Drosophila melanogaster: one gene and its partners. The protein of the gene in region 4 interacts with the protein of the main gene of each other region in a pairwise test. Each region holds a gene or a part of one and is shown on either strand. Other genes may lie near its edges. The genes, in order: CG15071, Mes2, RFeSP and Scp2.

The links.
Region 1: the proteins of Scp2 (region 4) and CG15071 interact in a two-hybrid assay, tested with the Drosophila melanogaster proteins (one large-scale study listed by BioGRID).
Region 2: the proteins of Scp2 (region 4) and Mes2 interact in a two-hybrid assay, tested with the Drosophila melanogaster proteins (one large-scale study listed by BioGRID).
Region 3: the proteins of Scp2 (region 4) and RFeSP interact in a two-hybrid assay, tested with the Drosophila melanogaster proteins (one large-scale study listed by BioGRID).

Annotation. Positions count from the first base shown.
Region 1 is NT_033778.4:18,694,647-18,698,138, reverse strand, and holds CG15071 (uncharacterized protein), read right to left. Parts: upstream 1,555-3,492; 5' UTR 1,506-1,554; coding exon 885-1,505; 3' UTR 794-884; downstream 1-793.
Region 2 is NT_037436.4:22,943,735-22,951,912, reverse strand, and holds the start of Mes2 (Mesoderm-expressed 2), read right to left. Parts: upstream 6,257-8,178; 5' UTR 6,127-6,256; coding exon 5,973-6,126; intron 5,919-5,972; exon of another isoform or gene 5,729-5,918; intron 5,644-5,728; coding exon 5,343-5,643; intron 1,382-5,342; coding exon 523-1,381; 3' UTR 1-522.
Region 3 is NT_033779.5:1,611,560-1,616,019, forward strand, and holds RFeSP (rieske iron-sulfur protein), read right to left. Parts: upstream 2,602-4,460; 5' UTR 2,518-2,601; coding exon 2,424-2,517; intron 1,865-2,423; coding exon 1,485-1,864; intron 1,430-1,484; coding exon 1,211-1,429; 3' UTR 870-1,210; downstream 1-869. Other genes in the region: CG14352 (uncharacterized protein), read left to right, coding at 1-309, 447-841.
Region 4 is NT_033777.3:16,580,566-16,585,664, forward strand, and holds the start of Scp2 (sarcoplasmic calcium-binding protein 2), read right to left. Parts: upstream 3,099-5,099; 5' UTR 2,999-3,098; intron 1-2,998.

The DNA of each region.
Region 1 (3,492 bases), on a different chromosome or scaffold from region 4:
TGCAATGCAAACTATTTGTTTATAATAAAGACAAAGAGCGCTCTCGCTGCCGGGCAATGCGGCGTATGCGTAATGTCTGTTGAGCGAATTAGACGATGGCCGGCGAAATCGAGATGAGTGTCATACTTTTACATAATTGCATGAAACAAATGCTGATTCTGCACTGATATTACGTCCTATAAATCGCCAATGCCACGTGAGCCGGTTTTGAACTTCAGCCAACAACGGGAAACAAGGAAAAACCAAAGGCTTGGGGGGGGGGGGGGTAGGGCTGAAAAAAAAGTATGGAAAAAACAGAAATGCCATTGCCACGTGCCGTTTGACCTTTCCCCATTGGTCGCCCGGCGAATGCGATGAACCTCAAGCTCGGCGCTCGCAAATGAGACATTTCAAAATAATCGCAACCAGAAATACACCAACAACAAGTATAGCAGTCGTGGCAGAAAATACCAGTGTCGCCTCCGTTTGGGAATCCTTCAGCCGAAGGCGAAAAAAGTCGCATCAAAAGGTCCTATTGATTTAAAAGGCAAGCAGCTCAAGGCAAGGTCTAAAATGTTGTTGATTACGAGTGTCGCCCATTAAATAAGGGCCCTGAAACAATGTCAAGAATTTCAGCAATATTTGTCTGCAAATCGCAATGCATGGCCATCGAGAAAAGCATTTGCTCCGTAATACTTTTTCAAAACTAATGGTATTTGCATTTAAATTGGATTGGATAATACTTTGTAGGTATATCTACTTTTGAAACTATTCCACTTGATTTAAAGATATTTCTTTATTGTTTTGCAAGCCTATTCAAGTTATAGAACAAATACAAATTTTTGGGATATTATCTATGTGAAAAAGTGAAAAAAAAACTAATCCAAAAGTTGCTGTATATTAATCTACATGCTACCTTTCCACAACAGCTTATTTTCAATTTCCATTTTAGCGTACTGCTCCCTCAGTTCTTCGAGTTCCTTTGAGTTCCTAGCAGCCAAGCGATACAATTGGGCATTTAGGCCAACGATTCTTTCCCTTAGAGCATTCACTGTATATTGGCTAAGACGTTCTGGCCGAAAGACATCCTCCTTAACGGTGGCCACAAAATGCCACATATCCTGAAGCTCTCCACGCTTTTCGCTGCTATATAGCTTAAGTTTTTCATGGAGCACAAGTTTCTCCTGTTCGATTTCGTTGATCAGACCTATTAGATCTGCCGTGGAGGAACTGTTGGGTCGTGGATTTCGACCAGTTTCCGGCTCTTGGCAAGACTCGGTCTTTGAATCTGTGCCCTCATCATCTTTGAGTATGAAATTATTGGGATTCAGCTTGACTTGATTGCATTCGAGATATTTTTGCTGCGCCTTCAGGCGCGTCAATTCACACAGAATGGCGGTAGGTGTTAGTTTTGCCGCCCTGATCTTGGGCGGAATTTTAACTTGATTCCGTTTACGAGCGGGTTTTTCCGGCGGTTGAGCCCTTGGAGCCGTTGGCTTTTGTTCATCGTCTTTTGGATTTTCCATTGGGGCTTCGGTAGCATGTGATTGTTGCACAACATCCAAGGAGAGAGTCGTTGCAACTTCTGCAGCGCTCGTTTGGTTGTTCTTATTTACACGCGGTAATCAAACGTGTTGCCAGCACACCCAACCACCCACCCACTCCTTCCACGTGTTTAATCGATATGCAACCTTTCCACCCCCCTCGATTTTTCCGGCTGCTGTGCCAACAATTCTATGCTTCTGCCGGGGGTCAGTAAACTTTATTTGGCTTGGCTGGATTTTACAATTTTCCAAACGGCAGCGGTAACTTTCAGTGGAAATGGAAAATCGATTAGTACAATTACTGTTTCCATGTCATGGCCTACTTAATTGCCCATGGAAATGGGACAAACGGGGTCGTGGCTTGAAGACCACTTTCGTGGCTAACTAATTTCTAATCAGTACTTGTGGGAGACCGGGAAAATCCACCTGCTAGCCAAAAACTCAAGTGACGATCAAATGTTTGGCGAGCTAATCAAGTTTCAATGGACTAACAAAAGTATAAAGTAAAAGTAGGAAATACAACAGTGAGCCTTGCTTTAGTGGAACTAATATATTAAATCACAATCTACAATCAATGAAATCAAAGCTAAGAAGGTTTATATATTATGCAAAAATGTTCGTTATATTTAAGATTCACTGTTAACTAACGAAATTCGTTTATATTTAAATTGCCTTTTTTTTTTATGTACGGCTAAAATTGCTGGAATTACAAAAGTGCTTGGTATGGAAGTTTGACTGTTTGTGCGGATGAAATGTTGATTTATTATTTGTTTTGCTATCGCCTGCAAAGTCAAATCGGGCAGCATTAACTTGGCGCGTGCTGTTTGTCTTCTGTCTCCCTCCCACCCACCAGCCACAACCCACTTGCGCCCACACCACCCACTCCGCTGTGCGACAGAGACAGAGAGCGAACGCACGTGACTGATTTGCGAATTTACTTTTCTTGCGATGACAAAACATCGTGGATGAAAAATCAGCAGAAGAAGCAACTCCACTGATAGCATTTGTGCTTATCATTGGAATGTATGTATGTATGCGTATTTTTTTTTTTTGCTGCAGATAGCATAGTTTTGTTAGTATCAAAAGCATACAAATATGAACGTGGAAATGCAAAGGAAAGGCAAAAGGTCGACCTTAGATTTAGTGCGCATAATTTTTTGGGTTTTGTAAACACACACACACACAGTAGAAATATGATAAAAACCGCAGACACACGAATGGTGAGCTGCAAAAAGCCGCGAAATTGTTAATAAAAAGGTAAATAAAAATTGTTAAACGATTTCAGCCACCCATCTCGCTCGCTCATCATCTCCGTCCCGCTTGCACTCGCTTCTTTTCGGTCTGACGCGTGTTAGATGTTCAAACATGTTTTCGGTCTGCTGGCCAAAAGGCAACGCTCAGACGGCAGCTTAAATATTTGCCCATAGCGAAAGATCAATCAACAAATGTGAGCGAGACGGTGTGAATTGACCAGAAAGAGACGGGTAGAGCATAGGGCTGCACAGAGAGAAATAATATCGACATATAAATAATGAAATGTATAGTAGCATACAGTTTAAACAGTTTAAAAACTCACATTTGCAATGCGGTTTTTCATCTTAACTTGGAATGAAATTTAAAAAATATTTTATTTAAGTTCCCCTGCTTTTCTCTATGTAAAAACAAACACGAGTGGTATATAGAGTGTCTACGCTGCATGGCTGGTGCTTAATTGCATCAATTGGAGCATTAAAACAGTTGCCAAGGCAACTACAGAAAAATTCAATTAAACTAAAACTTGCCAATTGAGTGCAAACACATTCCGCACACAAAGAAAGTAAACTGAAATTCAATTTGAAAAACGGCACATGAAAGCGATCAAGAGAGCGTAGAACTCTAAACAAAGAAAGAAATCAATTAATACTATTTATATTGGCTAAGAAATGATAAAACTGTTTATTTCAGAGTCATTTCCCCCGCAGATTTTCAC
Region 2 (8,178 bases), on a different chromosome or scaffold from region 4:
TGAGTAATATGCTCGCTTTTTTAAGTTAAAAACTTTTCTTTTCTAATTTCTACGTTTTCAACTTAACAAGAAGTTATATTATATATAGGCGATATAATCTGGGTAAAATAAAAGGTTATATAAAGAATTGTTTCATGTGATGAGACGTTGGCATGAGTATGAACTACAGTTGATCGACTTAAAACGAAATTAACATTTAAAGCTTAATTAATCTATGTTTCTTATTTTGCTATTTCTTGGTTTACGTCTTTGTGTTGTCTTTTCGTTGAGTTTGGTTCATTTTTGTTAATAGGAGCGAAAAAATTAGAGAATGTTTTAGAAAATCATTCATATTTGATTGATCCTTTTGGTATGGCACAGATTTGGCATTGGCAAGTAAATTTGTATTTCTTTAGGAAAGTAATATATAATGGCAAGAAAATTCAGTTATAAGTGCTCTGAGCAGCAACATCATTCCATTATGTACTTTTTTTTGGCTACTATAATTACACCCGTACACTTAGCGCTCTTCTCCTCCGCTGTCTATTTCGTGGACCCTTCGCACTGCTGCACTTGAACCAGTAAGAGAAGAATGCGATTCATTAAATTGTCCGCGTCCGAGTCCTCCATGCTGTTTAGCTTGGCTGAAATAAAGCCGCAGAACTTGGAGTTCAAAACCTCACGTACAGTTTGTGGGGGCGGCAGATCCAACCCTCCGCTTGCGACGCCCTGTTGCTGCCGGAGATGGCGGTGCTGTTGCAGCATTTGTTCTTCGTAGTCGTCACCATCGATAACCGCATCGCCGTGACCGTTTCCTTCCTCCAAAACATCTTGATCGACGTTACGGCGAAGCTTGCGGGACATGACCACATCGTCCACACCAACATTGGGGCTACCGCGTGAGTTGGAATCCAGAATCAGAGGATAAGGGAAATCTGCATCGATGGCATCCAACTCCTCCACTACGTCGGATGCGTGGGCGATATCTTCGTCCCCGCTGCGTATCGAGCTGTCGTCCATGTCTTCATAGCTGTGATGCTGTGCCCTTTGCTCGTTTCTCGTTGAGCTCACCCGACTGTCGTTGTGAGCCTGGTGAGCGGGCAGAGGAAGTGGCCCGCCGCCGGAGCTACTCCCACTTGTGCTACTTCCGGCCCCACCGCCCACCGAGAGATCCAGCTCCGGCTTCACATAGTAGTCGCAATAGTAGTGATCGTCGCTTACATTGAGCGAGGAGCACTTTGAGAGATTTAACACTGAGGCGGACTCGTTAAAGGAATTGGACAGCTTCAGGGTCATTGCCTTTCCCCCTGCAGCCAAGCTGTTACTGTTGTTGTTGTTGTTGTTGTTATTGTTAATATGGCCATAGGTTGTCAGGCTTAGATCGGTTGCATGCGAAGCGCCCCTATAATAGAAAGAACATATGTTAGAAGACTAAATTATTTCACATTTTAACGGGTTTAAGGTTGGGTTTTACTTTTGCGTCATATTCAATATTCATATTCGCAGCAAGTCTGCGGTATTTTTTTATTTTGTATTGATGTTAAGTTGAATACTAATAAAAATTTGATGAAGGAGGTTGTTTAAAAGGGCATACAAAAAGATTAATAAATTTATTAAATACAATAACATATAACCGTGACTAGTGGTTATGTACATTGTTTTTAATACACTTTAAGAACCGCCTACGTTCTTAAATTAAAAGTAGAAAGAATACTTTTCTTTGTCTCTCACACATCATTTATAGTATAACAGATTTTCTTTCTCTTATCTTAAATTATATTAATTACAATAAATAAAAAAATATTAAATAATGCTGGCAATAATCATTTGCAAAACGTTGGGCAAAAAATTAGAAATAGAATAGTCTGAAAGACAAATCAATAAGTTCGTAAAACTTTGCTAGGTTGTCATCAACTAATTAGCTTTGTTTTATGCCGACGGACATTGCGATCGGATAGTGACCCTGATAAGGAAAGCATGTTCGTATTAATTGTGAGTTCGAAAACACACAAAAATATAATTGTATTAGCCTTATAGAGTTCATATGTTTCCTGTGACTCAACGATTCATATCCCCATTTTGAAATCTTGTCTGTTTAAGGCAATAACACAAGAAATGCATAAACATAAATGTCTTTCAGTGTAGTATCGCTTCCTGTCTCTCTCCTTACGCGTCTCAAGTTTCAAGAGCATTTTCACAGGCAATGCAGCTGCCTGGGCCGGGTGCTCAAAGAACATCTGAACGTGGCTATTTTGGGCCTCCCCCATACCTATAGTTATTTGCCGAATGCAAAGACCTGGCCTAGTGGTAGGCACGGGCATGGGCGACCTAGAAGACAGCCTTATCACCGCAATCGGCTGCAGGTAGTTGACAATTGTAAAATTTGAAAACTGATACTCGCTCGCCAGCCAAGACCAAAAAACTCGCAGGACTAATCGAGTCGAAATACATTTTCACATGTTCCACAATCGGGAATGGCTTTATTTACTTCATTATTTTGACTTGGTTTCTTTTCGGGGTTTGAATCGCTCAGCTTATCATTATTTGCTTCCGCTCTTGCTTAGGTCCCAAGCCGTTTTCCGAGATTGTTTATGGGTTTTTGTGGTTTGAATTCGTTTTCTAAAATCTCTATCACCTGCACTTGGAAACAAATCTATGAATATTAATATAATAATAACATAATTAAATATTCCAATGGTCCGAATGAGATTTTAGATTTTTGCAGACCTAGAACTTTTTATTATGATTTATTAGGCAAGAACTAGCTCCATGCAAAGGCATTTAAAGGTACGAGAATCAAAAGGCAAGCACGGACTACCGCCCACTTTTCTTCTTCCGTGACGCATTGGCTAAAGCATTTCAATGCGAAATACGGCGGACAGTGATTTCAGGGCGTGGGGCGAGATTCGGATTGTGGGGATGACGGACAGCCAAACAATTTCAGCAATTTCGCAGCACATTTGCTTATTAAATCATAAGCGTGACACAGACAGAGCCCAGCAGAACTTTCACACCCAAGTGGCCTCGTGTGTGTGAGGGTGAGGGTACGAGAGCCCCCCATTAAGAGAGGACTGAACGACGAAAGCATGTGGGCCAGGGCAGCCTGAAAGAGGCGTCCAGACCCCGACTCTGGGTCTCAGCAACCCCTTGGCCGGGACGCGGCCGATGCGGCTGGCTAATGGTCGTGGGCATATTTTTAACCCTGGCCGAAGTCAGACCAAGCTATTCGTTCAATTACTCAGCTCACCCATACAGCGATCTTTACGAGTGTTCGGTGCTCATGTCATACACACACAGGCAGAACCTCGCTCATTTTCCCTTACCAGCCCCTTTCTCGCTCACGAGCTACCAGTCTTTCCCAACTTGGTCCACTCGCAATCCGTATTCTTCGGTGCTGATTGTCATTTTCGTAGTGCTCTCATTAATTTATCGCTCTCTCGGCGCCTTCCCATAGTCCCCACCCCTCTCGCAAGCACTATTCGATGGACTTGGTCTTGCGTTTGCAGCTTCCCTCAATTTCGTTTTTGGTTCAAGCAGCGACGATGCTGCGACGTTGTATAATATTCGCCGCTTGGCGAGATCTGTGTTATGGCTATGGCTGTGGCTATAGCTGCGGCTATAGCTCCGGCTCAAGCGCTGCCCGACTGGCCGGGCCCGTTGAGCTGTCTGTTATCAGCTCACAATAATAAAAATTTAAATATATACACACACCATGGGTGAGTGTGCGCGGGCATGTGTCGGGGCCGTCGACTGCTTGTTGCCCATGTGGGTACAGTCAATTGAAAGGAAATGGCCTTATTTCATATAAATATGTACATAAAGTACACACACTCACACACACACACACACCCGCAGCTCGAGCACGGCTCCATATGAGCCAGAACATTGGACGGGGCAGACTCTCGACTGAGACCATTTGCGGGTCTCTGGCCCGGTCATTCCTTTGTTCGGATTGGTTTTTTCCACATTACCGCTCCTTAGTGTCCATATGCCCCCTTGCCTTGTTTTTGCTATTCTTTTTCGCTGGGCAGATGTTTTCTCAGACACGGTGCTGAGATTTGCTCGAATTGTTGGGCGTTTATGCAAATCGACTGGGCTAAGGGATGAGTTTTGTACGAAGGCTCGAATGGAAGTGGAATTTCGTAGTTACGGTTCGAATAACTTTATGCTAAACTTATCACATGTTTTTTATGTGACAATTGTATGTATTGTCTATTCGATCTGAACATATTTCCGAATTCTCAATTTATTTAAATTGTCAGATCTTTACGAAGTCCGTGATTCTATGATTTTTGAAATAAATTTATTGACATATTTTGTCCAACATTAGATCTAAGCCATGACTCACAAACTCATACACTTCTCAGTGTACATAAGCTGAAGTGGCTACTCGCATAAAATGATAAGATTCTTGGAATTTCCTGCAATAATTATTTTTGATTGAGCCAAGCTAAACAACATTGTTCGCTTGACTGACTACTGACAAGCACACATATTTTTAGGGGGGCAGATTCGGAAAAACCTCTTTCAGACACAGGACTGGAAAGCATACAATACCTTCGACCAATGTAAATGATCGTTGGAAAGGTGAGTCACATTATTATTGTGTATAAGTTAGCTAGTCTTCAAACTGATGCATGTATTTGTTTCGCATGAATCAATCCGTGTATGACCAAAACAGAAGACCAATCTAAACCGAAAACTGTTATTCACGACTCAAGCCAAACTTTGACCGTTGTTCGATGGTTGTATGGTTAGTGACGGCTTATCAAACTCATTGTAATATAAGTAGCCAAATGTACTCCTGACACAAATAATGTTCAGAGTGTAAGACGATATTATTGAAGAACTGTAGTCGTAAGGGAGCATTACTTTTGAGAAATAACGGTTCCACTTTTAGATTTGTTTTGGTATCGATCTCCAAAAAGCAGAGGATAAGAATAAGTACGTTAATTAAGATCATTTTGGGAAAGGTAAATATTGCCTAGAAAGATTAAAAGAAAACTTGGAAATAAGTGCAATACGTTCTGTAATAATTATTCGTTGATATAGAATTTCATGTACTTTACTATTCGATTATAAGAATGACTCGTATTTCTGTCAAATTTTAAATTTAAGCGCTCTTCTCTCGTGTTCTATTATTGCTTTTGCTTTTGTAAAGCCATTTGGATGAAGATCATTTTTAGTGACATGATTTGTGGTGTGGCAATAATGGGTCAAGCAGAGAATGCAAAATTCATAACGGGCTCTATATTACTGGTCAACCCCAGGAGTCGATATTGGCATGAAACTTCCTTGACGGTTTTAAATTTAAGAGAATCACCTGGTCACCAGTTCACTAAAATACTATTCCTTATACTTACTTTCGTTCTCTGATGACATCGCGCAGGAAATCCATGGCCTCATAGAGACTCCACTTGGGCTTGAAGCCATTGCCCATTAGCTTGACGTGGGCGAGTTCACGGCGGTAGGATTCCCTCAAGGACTTGAAGGCCCGTGCAACGCGACGCCCGGGAGCGTTGAACTCGCGGCCTATGTGCTCCCAGGCTCGGTTCTTTTCTTCTTCGGCGCCCTTGAAATTCGGGAGACGGGAGTCCCAGAGAATTGGATTGTCGTGCACCATTTGGATGAGCTTCAGCTTGTCGGAGGCGTTGCGCCGAACCACTGTTGGGACACAAAAATGAATGCAAATAATATAAGTCCTCGAGTCTCGACAGTCGAATATTTTAAGAAAGCACGGTACAGGCACCTCAAAACTTCTATAAGTCGAACTTTTTTAACCCAAATGTACATACATACGTATGTACGTATATGTATGTACATTGCACATAGGGTGAACCGAACTATTTGAATAGGCAATGAAGAGATAAAATAAATTCTACTGCTTGTTCGACGTATCGACTTTCGACTGCATTTTGCATAAAAATTGTACATATATACATATGTATGTACGTATGTTTGCATGAATGTGGGGAATAAATCTGTGTACGCACATTTCTTTATCTTCTGAGAGGGCATGGCAGTTGCGGCGGCCAGGGGGTGGGGCTCCAACTTGGGCTTCATGTCAAGAGCGATTGCCGCGGCGGCAGCACTCATGTCCTGCAGCGAGTGGGTGGCGGTGGGCAAACAGCCGCTCACGGGCGCCATCAGAATGTTCTGGAGGATTTGAAGGCTTGAACTGGCCAGGGCTCCACAGTACTCTTTAGTTCGGACGCGATCGCGGTCGGCTGATAACGGGGCTGCTACCCTCTCACGACCAAGTTTAAACGGCAACTAAAAACCAAGACCAGAAAATAACAACCACCGCGGCAAGCGGGCTGCGCTCAGCCGTCGTCGACGCCGAGCCGGCAGCGCAGTTGGCAGCAAGCCCGCATTCAGAGCCAAAAAATCACGCGCATTCGACATCGACATGAGAGCCAGCTATAGCTCTTTGCGCTCTCTGTCTCTCTCCGGCCGTGGCTCGCTGCCACCGTTCCCGTTATCTGATCCAGACATATAGGTCTAAAGCGCTCTCCGGGCGCTGCCTAGAGCGCGACTCGCCGGATGGAAACCCCGTTTAATCGCAATCACAAGCCACAGAAAGTAAAAGCAAGCGAAAAGCGGCGTCGCACACACACACACACACAACAGGGAGAACGCGCAGAACGAAACAACAGAAAATGTGTGTAATACAAAAATCCGTTGACGCGTTCGCATTTGGTTTTAGCAGAGGAATTGTCGAGCGTTCGTACGTACTTGCATACATATGTATGTATGTACTACATGAATGTACCATATACACATGTATGTACATACATACATACGTACCAAAATACTTGGATAGCGTTTCTTGGCAGAATACGCTGCACTTCGGCCATATCAGCTTCAATTAATATAGGGGGGTCGATTCCCGTATCGGAACAATTTCGAGGAATTTAAAGAATTCATGACTATGTACATATGTACATACATTTATTGTAAATCTCCAACGCATTAAGGTTTTAGACTAACATAATAATTATAAGTTTACTGGAGTACACACATACATATAATCTTGATCTGTCCGCCTGTCCGTTCGCATGCAAGTTAGTGCGTTCGCAAGCCTATCCAGACGCCATGAAACCGTTTATTGGCCAGGTATCCTGCTCTCAGTTGTGAAAAGGGATTTGATTTTCATTTCATTTTGTTATATAAATGTAAATTTCCATCGAAATGACAAAAAAAATCTCAAAATTCGCTGAGTAACGGGTATCTGATAGTCGAAAGTAATCGACTATTGTTCTCTCTTGTTTTAAATAAATAAGAAGAGAGAACGCACGAGTTCCCCGAATATCAAATACCTTTTACTCAGCTAGTGGAAGTGAGAACGCGAAATTTCATAATTTTTTAGGACCATCGATAGATATTGGACAAGAAGAAATGGGAGGTTTGTGGTCGTTAGAGTGGGCGTGGCATAAAGTTTTTGTAGCAAATCGATAGAATTTTACAATACTAATAAAAATGTGAAAAAAAGATATAACATATTTTTCAAATGTGTGTCCGTGACAGGTTTCTGCGGCTTACGGTCGATAGTGGGTGTGGCATAATCGATAAAAATTTATAATTAAAAAAGATGAAAAAATATCAAAACTTTTTTAAAAGTTTTTTTGCAAAACCATACACATTTGCAAGACTAATAAAACTATGAAAGAATATCAAAACAGTTTTCAAAAGTGTGGGCGTGACAGTTTTGCCCGACTTGTGGGCGTGGAAGCAAACTGGCTCTGTGTCTATGTTTCTAGAATCTGTATGCATAATCTTGACCTTCTAGTTCTTATAGCTCCTGAGATTTCGACGTTCAACGGACGGACAGGCTATTGATCCTGATCAATAATATGAATACTTTCTATCTGTTAAATACTTTTTAACGAATCTAATATACTCTTTTATACTACGAGTAACGAGTATAATTACTGGAAGATAAATAATTTTGTGTAGAATTTACGATATAAGAGCACAAATTTGTTGTTAAATGTAAAGAGGGCTAAATATACTCATCGGACGATCTGATTCCATCAATGGCTGGCTGCTTGACTTAAAGATTTATAATTTTTTTCCAGGGGGCCTGGCCATAGCTTAAGCAATGAATAGTTGAAGAAGGGTGGGTTAGTGTTCTACCACAGTGTGTTTTTGTGGACTCCGCCCGTGGCTGGCTTCGTTCGCTGCAGTTGTAGAGTCGAA
Region 3 (4,460 bases), on a different chromosome or scaffold from region 4:
AGGAGGAGATCCTGGAGAACCTGATCCTGGCGCATCGCGACGTGATCCGCAACAAGCAGAAGGATCCGGCCATTTGGAGGAAGAAATCGGAGGCGTGGAAGCAAATTGAGGCGGACTTCGCCATTCAGACCGGAATAGAGCGTTCTTGGCAGGCTCTGCGAGAGAAGTACACCAACAACCTGCGGATGATGCGAAAGAACGGAACACTGAGTGACGAGGAGGCAAAGACTGACAATGCATCAGATTCGGTGCAGAATTTGTCCATTTCGGGAGTTTCTTCGCTGGCTGCAGCTGCTGATAATGAAGAAAGTGAGTAAAGGATGGCAGGATCAAAAGCATGAACGTGGTAGTTGACAAGATGTACCTTAATAGTCTTACCATGATAGGTTCTTCTACAGCAATATTTCAGTGCTTTATCTCTAATAAACTCTAAAAACATCTTGCAGGTAGTACCTATTTCGAATCGGAATTGAACCGAAAAAGCCTCAGAAGCGCCTCTACCGAAGTCAAGCTCGTGCCGAATAACTCAAGCTACTCAGTTGACAGACCAAACTACTCAGCTCTGAATGTAAATGAAGAGTCAGTCGATGTGAGCTCAGAAGAGGATGCCACGAATACCCTGAAGGATGAAAAAGTCGTTCTGATCAGGCTGCAACAGGAGTACTATCGATGCGAAAACGCCCGGGCAGCCGAGAAGCACAAGCTTGAGATGGAGAAGCAGAAATACGAGCTGGAGCAGCGAAAGGTGGAGCTGCGCAATATGCGCCTGAAAAACGAACTTCTCGAAGCGGAAATACTCGAAAAACGACGCAAAGTCGCGCAAAGCAAGGCTTCATCCTAAGGAATTGCTAGCTAGGATAAGTTAATTTATTCTTGTCTTCATAATGTCAGTGCTCTTCAGTAATTACTATAGTCCTAGTTAAACAAAAGATTATCGAAAGAAACTCATGTACACTCCTTGATTTTTGAAACCAGAAGCAAACAATTACATCTTCAAAAGATTTAATAATGTCTGTCAAACTTCTAAAGATTCGTCTACATTTTAACAAGTAAGCTGGATTTAGGCTGCTGGATTTAAGCCCTTCACATTTATTCCTCCTCAGTTCGAATGAATTGCTCGTTTATGCTCGGTCGTTCTGTTTGGTTGTATTTATTAATTTACATCGATCCATTCACTATGCAGTTGGGGGCTTAAACGATAACAGCTCCTCTAGCCGACCACGAGAAGACCCTCGTTGGGGAACTCGTGGGTGGGCACCTCCAAGTTGAGGGGCGCGGGTCCCTTGCGGATCCTTCCGGAGGCGTCGTAGTGGGAGCCGTGGCAGGGGCAGTAGTAGCCACCCCAGTCGCCGGCGTTCGCGATGGGCACACAGCCCAGATGCGTGCACACTCCGATGACCACCAGCCACTCGGGCTTGATCACACGTTGCTAAAGAGGAAATGGGTAACAGCATTAGCGAATCGACCCACTCCACGGTACCTACATCATCAGCCTCCGGATCGCGCAGCGTGGATGTGGGCACATTTCGCTCGGTCTCGATTTCCGCGGCCGTGCGGTGGCGGATGAACAGGGGCTTTCCGCGCCACTTGAAAGTAACCGACTTGCCCTCCGGGATGTCGGACAGCTTGATCTCGATCTTGGCCATGGCCAGCACTTCGGCGGAGGCGCTCATCGATCCGATGAAGGTGTTAACCAGGCCCTTGGCCGCATAGGCACCGCCCACGGCTCCGGCGCCGACCATCAAGTAGGAGAAGGCCTTGCGCTCCTCGGCGGTGTCGTTGCGACGACGACTGTCCTTCACGGACTCCCGGCGGTATGCCGAGAAGTCTGGCACCTGCAGGTCGGTGTGTGCCTGGCGATTGGCTGAAAGGAAGGAGGGAATCATTAATTATCCATTGATCGAAGTGCAGAGGTTCTATAGATCCTTGTGCTTGTTTGCAGAGCAGTGTTGCTGATATAATCATAAATTTTTTGTGTGGTGGGCAGTGAAGAGTGTAAACAACATTGTTTTGGGGTTGTCAAGGCTGAAGGTATATTTCTTATAGCCGACACAGGGCATCTTGGGCCAACTTGGCATAACTTGGCGTCCCTTGCAGACAGAGGTGCCAAACTTCGCATGATGATATTCCTGGTCCCAGAGGTAGTAAATCCCACGTTTGGCAGAAATCGATTGAGTATATCCCACAGATCCGATGTAAATTGCAGGTGTGCTTGTGAGCCAGTGATTGTTGTTATTGTACGAGGTTATGTTGAAATTACGTAAGGAAATTTGACAAATCGCCTTAAAGCCGAGTGCAAATCACGTCCTGGTGGCATTTCCAAGCTTTTATTCAACTTTTTCCGCCTATTTCCCGATCCATTCATTATGTAATGGCTGTGTTTTCAGCTGGCAGCTCGATGAATTCGCCTCGCAGAGCCTTACCCATCGAGTTGACGGCCACGCCGCTCGCCTTCAATCCCGTGGAGAGGACCTGGGCTCCGCCTCTGACGTAAGCACGCGACACGGCGTTCATCATTTTGTATGTTTCCCTATCAAATTAAATGATCACGAAAATTTCGACGTTTGTCGTTTTCGTCTGAGAACCAGTGTGACCGCACTCAAGTGGGTGAGAAATACCAGGTAACCTGCAAAAAATACCACAATATACTAGTATATATTAGTGTATAGTGCTGCCAGCTATTTGCATTCTCAGAGTTGCCACTACGATTGCTCACTGTCAGGAGCTGGCCGCTATTACAGCCCAGTAACGGTTTTTTAAATAGGTGAATAGAATTTCAAATAATTTTTGGAACAAATGATATTGTAGCTCGTTAAACCACCCCGCAGTGCATAAAAGCTTTTACTTTAATTTAAATTGATATGCATTTCATGTTGAAATGATAATCCTGCGTCGAATTAAATTGCATTTGTTTCACCTTGCCGTTCAATCCTTCATCCCCTTTCGTTTTCCTTCGAAAGGTGAAAAGGAGGCTCAGTTTCCACCCTTCGACCTTTTCATTCAAGTGAAAACTACCTTTCTTTTCAATTGGAAACTGCAGTGGCATAGATTTAGCCCGGATGAAAAGGGGTTTCCATGGCAAACCGGTTGGTCAACGCACCACCGAGTGGAGAACAAAAGACGAGGTCCAACCACCGGACTTTCACTATCCAGTTTTTCCACTGCACTTTTCCATTTTCCCCCGGGCAGCATCATTATGATGTCATTGATTGGACTTTGCTGGATGTTGCCTATTTTCTTCGGGGTAGTTTCTCTCAGCTTAATTAATAAGCGTAGCTCCTGAATTGGAGATATGCCTCGGCTGATCTCATCCAACGCATAAAATGGCAATAAAAACTGCATAAAAAACAGCCGATGTAGGGGAATTTGTTATGCGCATAAAAGTTTGCCGCCCGAAATTTGGCCAAACTTTAAAACCAAAAAAGCGGCCGTGGCAGCGGGGAAAACTCTCCCGCAGCCGGCTGAAATGTAATTCCTCTGGCGCCAGTCCTGTGATTATCGAAAGTAGTTCTTTTTGATGTCGAAACTTTGCTGCCACCCACTCCCCTCCTCCTTTCACTGGCTAGGTGGCAAGTGAAAGTGGGCCCGAAAGTGCTCCACTCCTCGCTCCGCTGCGATGTGTTCATCTATTTCCCAGCCGGAGGAGGAAAATCTGCGCACATAACGGCGCCTCTATGTACTTGGCCCAAAACACGCACACATACAAAATGGGTTCCTACGGAAAAGTGCGTAAAATTTGGCCAAAAACAAACTTCATAATGTAGTTGGGATATGAACAAGGGGATACTCTACATTTACACAAAATAACAGACGTTTTTTTGTGCGGAAATGAGATTTATTTATTTATTATGCATTTTAATATCTAGGACACAAACAGTAACCACTTGTTATGTTCCAATATTTGACATATCAATTTCTGACAGTGTAGAGGCCTGAAAAGTTGAAACTATGCCGCGTAGGCGACGTGGCAATGGCATCTGCCCTTTCCCTGGATTTTGCGCATCCACCCACCGAATTTTCCAGCCACCACAACGCCTCCAACTTCAAAACTCGACCGCATCCCCACTCAGACTTAACTCTTGTCAAGCTTCGACTGCGTTACACTTTTCAGCAACTTTTACATGGGAAACTGGCGCCAACTACAACAGCAGCAGTAGCAACAACAAAGTTTCAACCCTGCCCCAGGGCAGCCCCCCCTTACCCCCCTTACCACTCCCTGCCACGCTTCTTGCCGCACACTCCACCCCCTTTTCAACCATTTCTGTGCGGCGTGTGCAGCGTTGCGGCTGCGGCAGCAACAACATCAGCACAGCAGTAGCAAGAGCCGAAATACACTCGAAAAAGTATTGTTTAGCTTTATAATTGAGATATTTACATTTCCTAAAGTTTAGCTTAGTTATTATTAACTTTTAAGCTATACCCTATTTGGGAATTATGAATGGTGTGTGTCATATATTGTT
Region 4 (5,099 bases):
GTGGGGAAATTGTTATTCTAATGGAAGAATTATCAATATTGGTTCTATTGCCTTCGGGCATCTGAAGTGCAGGTGAGTGCTGGCTTAAAAGTGGATTAGTTCAATTACAATTTATGAAAAACGGAATAAAATCAACAATATTACCCACATTTTATTTAAAATTATGTCATAGCAAGGTCAAAAGTTAAGAGTCAAAATAAATTAAAAAATAATCTGGCCCAGTATTCATAATGCTGTATATTGCAAAAATTCATAAGCTGCATAAGCCCTCCTTCCATTTTCCCTTAGAACGATTAATCTTGTGCAAAGCTGACTTTGGCAATGTTAATTGAATTCACAAATTTCGCTGTCATAAAGGTTAATTTTGACAATTATTGCAATAGGTTAAATCGCTTGTTTAATTAATAAATTAACGATGGCCTCAAACAATGCGGCAGCCGATGTCAACTTCATTTAGCATTTAATGCACACACATTTGCGCGCAAAAATCAGACTGTCACAGTTCATTAATTTCCCACGTGCGCCTCAATTAACATCAGGTGAAATTGGAGTGGTAGTATGTTGGTTAAAATAAAAAATGAATGCTGAAAAAATAATCCACATCTCAACTGGCTAAAAGTACACAAAAAGTGTAATATTCAATTTGGCGCCCTTTCCATCTCCATTGGCAATTGCAATTCCGTGAGTTTCTTTCCAGAAGGGAATGAAAAGTGCTTTTCAACTGAAATACAATCACGTAGCCAGGGGCATAAGGAAATTAATGTTTTTATACGGGAAAATACAAATCAATATGAGACCACTTGTGAAATTTGTTCGTCGTTTAAGACAAATGAAACCGTTTTCATACAACAGTTTGGAGCCAATAATATTCATCCAAAAATATTCATACTATTTAGTTCTGTTATATTCTGATATATTCTCTCCTAGCATAAATCTTTATATGTTTATAAGTTTATCAATGCAAATAAATATATATAAAAGGTGATATAAATGGTCTGCTTGTTCCAGGTCAATTGGAAACGGGATTAAGTTCGACTGGATAATCTACGAGCCTGCTAGCCAATGCATTGCAATGCAGTGAAATCACATTTCAGTAGCACTTTCGAAATGGCTACGGGAAATGGCCGTGGAAATTTAAAGCCTTTTAATAGCCTGATGTGCGTATTATTTATCCTCGCATTTAATAATTAAATATGCGCGCAAATTGAATTCATCGATGTCATTTGTTTTTCAGTTTTCCGCTGGGTTCCGCTTTGTAGGGCGCCGAGCACATTACGCATACGCCGTGTGGCGCGGAAGTTTGTTTGTCGCTGTGGCACGGTCATTTGTGCCGCCGCCTTCCCATTAATTACCAATACTCATGCGCCAATGCATAAAAGCCACGCGCTGTTTGCCACAAAACTGCGTCGGCTTTTGTGGCACGAGGCAACCACATTAACCAACATCACCGCCGAAGGCTCGTTAATTGGGTTCTGTTTGAGTTTCGCTTTCATTTTTCGGGCCATGCAGCGCAGCAACGAGTTTCTAATAATGGAAATATGGCGGAAATCCCAGACTTTTATCTCCTCTCCGGCAATTAATAGCCATCTGTGAAGTTATAAATTTCAATATGAAGACATCAATGCTTTAATTGCTTTTTTAGTATCGGCGCGCGAGATGCGAAATGGTTTCATTCGATACAGCAATTTATTGGGCAATCAAATTAGAGAACACCCTACCACTCGTTTATCAACACAATTTGATTTGCATAAACTGGTTCTTGTTTTTTGGTTTGGGCTGCAATGTGTTTATTATGCAAAATCTGAATTCCCGACAGGCGAGGGCAGGCAGGAAGCTCATAAATTATTAGAGAATAAAATGTGGGATGGGGTCCGAAAAAAATGCAGATAGCTGACAAATGTTAGGCAGTGCTGAAAAGTATGCTACACTCTGTCAGACATGCGATTGATCGATTTTCTGGACAAATTGTAGTAGTTTTGATTGCATCAGCATGCAAATTGGACAGTGGAATACGTATTTGGCCTGCCATTGGCAGGGAATCTACAACTCGGTTTGCTGATCCCAGCAGCAGCCTAATCCCCCCGATGACCAGATGACCCAATCGCTTTTCCAATTCTCACCCATCTTCATTCTCAATTCGAGTTGGACGATGGCACAGTTTTCAACCGTCGCTAATTACTTTTGCGCTGCCGTAAATTTGCGCAGCCAATTTAAAATAATAGACAATGCAAGTGGCGTCGCCGTTTGCTCTTTATCTGCTGATGCAGCTCCGGGAATTGTCCGTGGTCCGCTGTCCACTGTCCGCCGTATTCCGCGTCCACTATTTGCCTTTTGTTGCATTGTCCGGTTCGCAGTAATTTCGTGTAATTTGCATTAATTTACAGTTTGACAATTTACAGTTTTACAATTTACAATTTGCAGCCACCGAGGAGCTGTGGAGCCAAGGAGCTCACAATGAGCGGCCTAAGGCCACCGACGCATGCCTGGCCAAACAACAGGACCGAAAAAACAGACACAGGCTGGCTGACTGACTGACTGACTGACAGGACGAGGATCCTTAGAGCGGCAGCGTTCGCTTCTCCTTGGCTTGGCCAGAGCAAAACTTTGGCCACGCTTTCAATGAATTCATTATGGCCCTGACCAAGGTGGGGCGAAGTAAGAATATTCTTCCAGTTGTTAAATTGTCGAGAGGTTGGTTGTGTTTTTTGCAAAAGTACCTCCAGCATACCCTACCCCCACCTTTCTTTCACAAACTATCTGCCCACTCAAGGAAAACTGGGGCTCTGGTTCCTGTTGAGCCTCGCAGCTCTTTGAGCCACCCACTTGTGCTCGTTACTTTTGGCTTGTTCTTTTGTCGGTTTTGGAAATGGGCTTTTTCGAAAAATGTTGCGGCATTATTATTCTTGTAGCGGAAACTCTCAGCACAAACACAGGTGCACTAGCACTAGCACTCGCACACACACACACACTCACACACAGAGATAGACGTTAACTTTACCGTTGCTTCTAAACTGACTCTACACTTTCTGATTAAATTTTGGTACCCTCTCGAACTGGACTCGTCTGCTCGGCAGCGCGGTTGGCCGTCTTGTGATGCTCGTTGCCATCGAGTCAGCGGCTTTTATATGCGCTACTCGTCTGCGCCGCCATCTCTGCCAGCGTCGGCAGAACTCGAGCGCTCTGGGTGCTCTATGTCATCGCAGGGGCTTTATCTTATCGCAGTCGCCGTCTCGGTCGACTCTGCCGACGCCTCTGCACTCGTCATGGTGTGAGTGAGTGCTGCACCCGACACGAGCCTGTGTGTGTGTGTGTGTGTGTGTGTGCGTGTGTGAGTAAGTGTATGAGTAGATGTAGTGCATGTAGCGTGCTTTTTGGCCACCACGTGCACTGTTACGAGCCGAACATCGGCATCGCCGTCGTCATCAGCATGCGGCATATTTGCTCGTGGGTTTGTTTTGGGATTTGACACTCGCAGAAAACTCCATGCTGGGCGCTCTGGTAGCCGGAATGCACTTTATATTTTGGTAATTAAATGGCACGTCTTATCGGAGCGGCATTCGCATACAATGTTGGGCTCAGGGGTTACGACGCCTCGGGTGGCCAAAAAGACACTGAGGGATGTGTGCTGGCTTTCTCGTTTAGTTACTACCAAAATTTAGAACTGTTCTAGAGGTTTTCCTAAGCCAACTTTAAACGTTGATCGCCCTTTTATCGCAAAACTTTGTTCCATCGAAGAAGCAAAGTCTAAGCTGCACAAAAACAATGATAAAGCCGAAAAGGAGGCAATCTATTAGTCAACATAAATTACTAATTTACCAATAAACTATAGCACGCTCCCCATAATACAGCAAACGTATACTCGAAGATAAATCAACATAATAATTTCTTCTGGGAAATAATTCAATTAATTACAACTTGGCAAATAAACCCCAAAGGATTTAAAAGAAATTGAGTTTTGCTAACAGCACATTATGATCACGATGATGTAGATGAGACCCAATACAACATAATACTCGTACAGCATCCACCCAAATACATCGACATTGTTTGCAGTGCACCACAACATAACAAATCAAAATGTGCAAATGTTCTGGACAAATTTTTAGCATAGCCTTGACACACACACAATAAACTGAAGCACTCACACAGGCATGCTCTCCCTTAAAAGAAGGCAACACGGACACACACAAACACATAGGCTGGCTGTGGACTCAACTTGGCTAAAGTTAATTTGGCCCAAAGAAGAAGGCAGCCAAAACAGCTGCTGCAAGAGCAGCAGTAGCAGCAATATAAGGCACACTTGGCGGCATAATTTCTGTTGGCGCATTCAATCTTGTCCAAGAGTGGACCACCAACCGACGAAAGTGGCTAGAACCGAAAAAAAAATGAAAGCATTTTGGCCAAGCAATTTCCAGGCTGTCTGCTGGGTTTTTAATTACACAAAGCAGACATATACAGCTCATGTATTTCAGCTGTTAATTGTCAAGTTTCGGCTGAAATGTCGCTACCAATTTATCAAGCGCCTCAGGAGCAGGCTCCCCGTGCCTTTTTGGCCCACATCCTGTGCTTCTCGCCCAGCGGGTGTCCTGCAGCCTCTGCTTGTTCCACTTTCACGCTGTTCCAGCAGCAGCTGATGCTTATTGCAGATGACCGTTTTACCAATGTTTCGTTCCGGCCACCTTGATTTCTTTTTGTAAGTGTGTGTGTGTGTGTGTGGGAGCGACGGTGCGTGTTGGAGTGGGCAAATGTTTAAATTTGTGGCCTTTTTACCTCTTTGCATCTCAAGTGGCCAAAGGCTACGTCCTGTGTGTGTGTGCAGGAAACGGAAGCCGACATTGACACAGTTTGAAATTAACATGAGCCTGGCCAAAGACCCACTAAAATCTTGAATGCCTTCTAGCGTTTGGCCCCATTTCACAACGTTTAGCTGTCCACCTATTTCATGTAGTTTTTTTTTTTTTGTTTTTGGGCTTCCATTCCACGTCTGCTGCATCGCCTCTTCCCTTCATTTTGCTCCGCCGCATAAGTGGGACCACTAAACGTTCCGTTGTGGCTCACACACGAGCGGACGAAGTACACTGAGAAAAGTTGCTCCAAAA